2 linked regions of the Drosophila melanogaster genome follow. The protein of the gene in region 1 interacts with the protein of each later gene in a pairwise test. Each region holds a gene or a part of one and is shown on either strand. Other genes may lie near its edges. The genes, in order: CG43054 and CG14401.

Region 1 (3,363 bases):
TTTGCTGAATTAAAATGAATAATACAATTCAAGATCTTGCAAGTGTGTTGGTTTATTATTGTAATATTTACTAGGTATTATTTAACACATTTTTTATAGTCCTCGTCCTTGGTCGACTGCCTTCGTTGTGCCGCAAATTGGTTAGCATCCGCCGATGTGATTCCTTGTGCGGATCCCTCAGTTTGAGGGCGAAACAAACTGGGGTGAGAATGTCGTCCACATGGGGAACCTTCGATGCACTGGGCATCCGCCTTAGTCCAGTCCATACACTTTGACGGGCCGTGGAATCATCGGTTGGTTGCGGAGCAATAGCAACCTCAAAGGATCCATCTTCGGGCGGGCCTTTGTCGTTGATCCTTAGCTGGAGCTTAACCCTTGGCTGAATGGCCCTCAGAGCCTCCGCCAGCGAAGAATGGAGGTGCAGGGCTCGCTTGCGATAAGTTTGACGATAACGGCAGTGGTCAATGTAGAGCACCGGCTGGAGTGGATCCAGTGGCCTTTTGTCGGGCATCTCTGGGAGGCAGATGGACACAGGTAAACAGGTGGAAATCTTGGGCGGACCACAGACCACGGACTTCAGCGAGCAGCAGGCATGGCAGGATGTGGGAGACAATCCCGGTCGAGGAGCTGAATCTGGGGTTCAGAGGTTTGACACAATTCTCCTGGGCAGCTTCAAGCCTCCAGCTTATCGGCGACCAGATAACCTGGCCGATGGAGGATATGGGGCGCCCTCATAAATCAAATAAAAGAGCGTATCTGACAAATAAATCTTCGAGGACGAAGCAGGCTCGCAAAAAGAACATGCAAATGCGCATGAAATATGCAAAAGCCGCAAGCCTTAAAATAAATACAAAAATTAAATCAACCAACAGAGCTATACAGTGGTCTTTAGATAGAGGTAACAAGACACGAAATGAGATATACAAAGTACATAAGAGTTATTTCCGATCAAAAGTGAAAGCTATATTCATACAGAATGACAAAAAGTGGGCATTCATCTATGTACGAGTATCATGCAATTTGCGAGAATGTGTTTCAAGAGAAAGTGCATTCTATGGCAAATGCAATGTGATGAGTAATTAATTTGAAAAGTGGACAAAAAATCCGTAATTTTCTAGTAATTACTGTACGTCTAGTATATTGTCCAGTTTTTGCTGACATTTTGACCTGCGGCGACGTGAAAAAAAGAAAATAAAGAAGATTTTTTCTGCAAAATTTACCAGGCTAAAGAGTAAAGAGCAGAGCATGCCAAACGCACAGGCACGGCCAAATAGAATACAGCGCACAAAAAGGAAGCCAAATGAAAAAAGGAAAATGTATATTTTAATAAACCGAACACAAAGCAGCGTAGGAAAAGTCGAGCGCCTCATTTCCCAGCACCACCCACTGAGCCACAGCCACCGAGTGTCGAGCCAGCGGCAAGGTTAGCCAGTTCATTCATTCGGTCTTATTCACAGTTATTGAAAGTAGAGCAGCGCCGCTGCTTCTCGAATAATATGGAAATAAATAAATGTAAGTCCCGGCCACATGATAATAACCAAGGGTTAGAGGTCGGAACGTGAGCCACCGACCCACAGCCGATGACAGTTGACAGACGACGAACACGACGACTACGACTTGAATCCAAATTCGAATCCCGCCGCAAATCCCTGGGAAAATATATTCACCATGTCTTGGGGTTTGGGGTCTTGGATACGGCTCTTCTGCTCCCTCTGATTGGATCAACATACTTAGTTTGTGTTGGCAAAATACCCAACAAATAGTCATGGGAATGCCCTCGACTTTCGCTTTAAGTTGCTCAGGTAGTTTATCGCAAACATTTGCCTTCGCCTTTCAATTTTGGGCTTAGTGAATGTCAAGAAATTTAAAACTCAAGATTTATGGGAGCTTACTCGAATTCTATTTCTAAAGGGGTCAAATGGTATTACATAAAAAAGGCTTAGTATAAAAAAGATTAAGATTGGATGCATATTGGTATGTATTATATTAAAAAAAGGCTTACTATTAAAAGGATTAAGATTGGGTGCATATTAGTATGTATGCATGTTTTTATGGATTCAGCATCAGTTAAGTCAAAGCTATTACCACTCAGATAAATAAAAAAAAAAATAACAAAGCACCAATTGTCACTGATAAATTCATCGACATTGGAAATCAAATTTATTTTTGTACTTCTAAAAATACTGAGACGAAATGAATTGGTTCAATAATATATGCGAGGAAAGTCGCTTAAAGTTTTTTCCCAATCTTCAAACAGTCAAAGCTAAGCGTAAATACGAAATTGGCCTGATGAGCGCAGATGAGTGCTATAGTTTCATAAAGAAAAACCTGAAGTCCAGAAATGTTGTAGAAGAAGAAATGTTGTGGAAAGTCCCCATAATTCTTGTGTGTATCGGCTGCATAATAGTCATACTATTTGCATTTTGTTTCGCATTTCAGTGTGTGATAACAAAGGTAAAGACCGCCAAAGTGCCAAAGCGTTTCGATTTCGACATTTGTGAAGCTGAAAAACCAAAAGCCCAACCAATCCACAAGGCCAGCCAAATTGATCACCCAAAGAAAGGAACAAATTGCTGTACTTGTTTAAAATCAAATCTACTTTGAAGTTGTGTTAACTGAATTTTCTATATATATGTATATAAAAATTATAATTATAATTATATATGAAGTCTAGTTATATGCAAGAAATATGTTTTTTCTTTTTTAAATCAAAATGTAATTTCTTCTGACTAGAATTCATTAAATATTTCCTTTATTGTGATTAATTTACCTGGCAAGTCATCGATAAATTTCTTATATTTTCAGCTGTCACACTCATTATGATAATTGCTGCCCCTTTGGCCAGGACGCCCAAAGTGAGCAACTTTCCGCTCGTCAGCTGAACTTATAGATGGCCGAGTAATCTGGCCAGTGGCCTCGCCCCATTTGTCAATGCTCGTGGTGGTGCAACTCCTGCAATTGCCACAGGGCTGTGGCATGGCCTTCAACCTTCAGCTTTACTTATTCATTTTCGGCTGGGATTTTCTTTGGCCCCTGCTTTTTTCCAGCTTGCCACAAATTGGCCAATGCGTTTGTTCGGGCAGCCAGAAGTTGCCGGGGATTAAAAAACGCTTTGCATGCCAGCGGCAAAAAGATTGGGCGTAGAAGGGGGCGGGAATTGAACTAGGGCGGTGTGGCAAGTGAAATGCGTATAAGAATTTGTGAAAATTATTTTCGCCGCACGGCTGGCCGAGGCTTGATTAAATTTCTGAACAAACGAGTCCGGCGGGCATAAAACGAATCCGCATTATTTATAAAATATTCGCCAAATAAATGAGTTTCCATTGATACACAAACATAGATGGCCGCTCATCGGGGGATTTC
Region 2 (3,932 bases), 3.2 Mb from region 1:
TGCCATAAATAAGACGCGTCTCTGGTCTTCCCATCCCAATGCCACTAGCTTACGCCATCAAGTGCTATGCCTGCGAATCCGTCTACGAGGCTAGTTGCGGCGACGACTTCGAAGTCGAGAACCATTTTAAATACGACTGCGCCTTCATTGCTCCTCCGCGATTCCTGGAGAACGATCTGCTCAGCGTGAATGCCACGGCCTGTTTGAAACGGGTATTCAAGGGTGAGTTTAAACGAATATGTTTCTCAAAACACGTTCCTACGGATTTGAAGCCTTGCTAGGATAGTAACTTTAATAGTTATGAATCAATAGGTATAGTAAAAAGAAAAGAAAGTTTGAAATATAAGATTAAAAAGTGGATATATCGTAATTCACCAAAAATGTATCTATCCACCAGATATTTTTTTAAAGTAATTGTTCATTAATTACAAATACAGTCCGATTAGCAGCGGACAAAAAAAGTGTGTTCCGAAAGGTAAATGTCTGTATACTCATTAAACATTCGCAATGTTGTCCGTCCGAGATTTGTATTTACTCTTCAGATAATAATTTCTTTAATGATTTGTGACGCAAATCAAAACAAATAAAATTAATTATGTGAAACAGTCATACATACATTCATAGACATACGTGCATATACGGACAGCTGTGACCTTATTTCAGAAGAATCTCGTAGACTTTCCAACAATCTCTTGATATTTTGGACAATACGTACACATTTCGTATAAGCCCATTAAAGACGGACAATAAAAAATGTGTTTATTTACGATAAGTCAGCCCGAAAGTAGACTAACCCAATGTTTTGCCTCTGCAGAAAACGGCGTGCGTAAGATCGTCAGAGGCTGCTACTTCGGCGAGGTAAATGCCACCGATGTGTGGTGCAAAATGGACCCCACCCTGTCGGCGGTGCAGAACTCAAGTTGTCATGTGTGCGACAGCGAGAACTACTGCAACGGATCGGAAAATCATCCAGTGGATAAATGGAAAATCTTCGGCAGTCTGGTCTTGTTTCTCTTGGCAACTCAACTACTCTGAGGCGACAGGAGACGAAGTGGAAATGTGGAAATGTGGAGCGTGAAATGAACATTAAAAGGCACAGTAGCTTAAGTAAACCTAGTTCAATTTAGATGTATTCCCAAGGCCCAGGACTATCAATTAGTAAAGCCCACATTAGTAGAGCACACCATCCACAAAACCGTTTAGCCAAATCTGCCCGGCCCACTGTATTAATGGCTAATCAACGCCGAACATGGCGTATGAGCAACATCAGCACACCGAAATGAGCCGAAAAGCTGGCAAACAAATTTCGAACGATCCAAATACAAACTAATAAAAACTAATTTTACACAGAATGCCAAATTGTTTATTTGTTCAAATGCCACTAATGAACCTTGCCTGAAATAAATGGATTGGCGAGGAAAGGGCAAAGGGAATGGCAGGGCAGGGTAGGGCAAGGCAGAGCACGATGTCAACACGCATTGGCCAGGGAAAAGCCAACGATGGAGAAGTGAAAATGTGAAAAAATCTGTTATGAAAATCAAATTCACATTCTGAATGCGATTGTTCGCACGTTCAGTTCAGTTTCTGTTTAGTTCAGTCGCGTGTGTGCATCGCTTCGAGTCGGTGGTCGGTGGTCGGTGGTCGGTGGTCGTTGGTCGGCGGCTTGTGGCTATATAGCGCATCTATCATGTGATTAAAATCGGTCCGGCAACCGAGAAGACAACATCTGTATTCGCGCACGTATCGGCATCGCCAAGCTATAGCTATAGCCATACTGACTCACCGCGACCGCCGGACGACAGTGGAATCAACTGTTTTCGGGGGCGGTACGATGGCGATGATGGCAGCGCTTGCCTCGCTCTTTCTGCTCGTCACGCTGGCCAGCTCAGGTGAGATTCTCGATTCGCGCCCGCCACTCATCACATTCCTGCCCCGAAATTGTAGTTCATATTTTGAAATATCTCAGAAGCAGAAGACTGTCAACACGATTTATTGCGAATCAGTGAATTTAGGGTTTTACCGACTGTTTTGCGGGAAACTGTTCAGTAAAGAAAAACATATAAACAGCTTTCTTTGTTTATTTCATTGTTTACGTATAGAGTCTAAAAAGTTCAAGAATTATATTACAAATTTTAATTAACTTACATCTGAAAAGAAATTAACGTTTTGGAACATTAAGAATGGTTTTAAAGCTAATTGTTTACTTTAAGATAAAGATAAGGTCTACCAAAATGCTCATCCATTGTTTTCCTTTCTGTGCACTCTCGTGGACACACATTTTTACGGATGTCGTCATCAGCCCGTGCCATTACCTGCTACGAATGTGATTCCGTCAATAATCCAGGGTGTGGGGAGCGATTTGTGGGCGATGACATATCCACGACGGATTGCGATGTGGTGGCGAACATGCGATCCCTGGGAGCGGAGGCCACTTGCCTTACCAAGTACCATGAGGGAAGTGAGTATACGAGTATGGTTTCTGGAAAATATGTCAAGGAAATCCCTTATAAAATGACTCACTTTTCGCAGTGCCAGGAGACACGCGCTTCGTGAGGCGCTCCTGTTACTTTGGCGATGCCTCCCCAATAGGCGTCAGTTGCGACGATGGACCAGATCCTGTGGTGCCCTTTATGAACTTCCTCGGCTGCACACTGTGCGATACGGATTTGTGCAACGCAGCCGCTGGATTATCCACACTACCCTTGGTCATTGCCCTTTCGATACTCGGACTGCTTGTCCTACTGGCGACCTAAGGAAGATGAGTCGCGTGGAACGGCGGCGGTCGTATTTCAATGTTTCCTATTAAAAGTAATATACTCCAGTATTGTATAAAAGATTGTTGTTTTCTTGGTCGACTAACTAACATGACTTCTTATACTCATGCAAAGGGCGCAGAACAAGAACGACCCAAAGTTTATCCTTATATTCTTAATTTTCTAAGGCAAATGGCTTAAGTTATAAAAAGCCTACTGAATATGTAATAAATTTAACTTAAAGCCCCTAGAAGAATGAAATAGAAGCAAATATTTTTTAATTTTTATTTTATTTGATTTTCTTTCCATTGTTTTTATACATCCACTAAAATGATTTAACATACATATATATTTATATAATTATACTTGTTTGATTTAATATAATTTATTGAATAAAATTTACTCGTTTCCTACTCTACTAGCGTGTGTATGTAAGTATGTGTATGTGTGTATTGCAATTAGGATCATTAATTACAAAATATTCATAAAATAAATTAAAATAACACTTTCAAATCGATACACACAATTTCTGTTTCAATATCTAGTCCATTGATTTCTTGATCGTCAAACAATTCTAGTTTTACATTTATTTCCAGTTTATAGCATAAATTATTTTATGTAGGCAAACAGATAACATCTTTGCTTATTATCTTAATGGGTTTAGCTGCGGATTATATTCATAACACTTCTGGGCTACACATAAATAACATTCAAATATAAATATATGGATATTTATCAAGATATTGTATATAAACTACACATTGAGAACAATTCAGATAGAAAACAATTTATGTACAAAAGATTGTGTTTGTTTTTGCTTCACCAATACTGTCCATGCTGGCGTTGTCCGGCGGAATCTCTACGATCCCAGCGAGGACCACTGCCGCGTCAATGCCACAAACAATCGTCGTCCATCTTTCCGCGTCTTAAAGTCTATCAACAATTCATATCATCAGCGTGTAAGCATTAGTCAACCAAATATAGTAAAACTTATTGTTTCAACACGATTCACAGTCAGAAACAAATAACAAACAGATTTGCATTGCATGGATCAACTTGTTCAACTTGTTTTGTAGTTGGGTATATAATGTAGTTCGTTTATATAATGCTGCGTGCGTACACATATACATTGAATCATAGTAACAACAACACACAGAGTTTGTTTAAAACCTATTCATA

Evidence for each region.
Region 2: the proteins of CG43054 (region 1) and CG14401 interact in a two-hybrid assay, tested with the Drosophila melanogaster proteins (one large-scale study listed by BioGRID).

What each region holds. Positions count from the first base shown.
Region 1 is NT_033779.5:17,625,708-17,629,070, forward strand, and holds CG43054 (uncharacterized protein), read left to right. Parts: upstream 1-2,151; 5' UTR 2,152-2,193; coding exon 2,194-2,604; 3' UTR 2,605-2,682; downstream 2,683-3,363. Other genes in the region: CG15147 (uncharacterized protein), read right to left, coding at 71-511.
Region 2 is NT_033779.5:20,868,303-20,872,234, forward strand, and holds CG14401 (uncharacterized protein), read left to right. Parts: upstream 1-1,551; 5' UTR 1,552-1,831; coding exon 1,832-2,045; intron 2,046-2,299; coding exon 2,300-2,458; coding exon of another isoform or gene 2,459-2,470; intron 2,471-2,529; coding exon 2,530-2,753; 3' UTR 2,754-3,170; downstream 3,171-3,932. Other genes in the region: CG31675 (uncharacterized protein), read left to right, coding at 49-222, 815-1,035.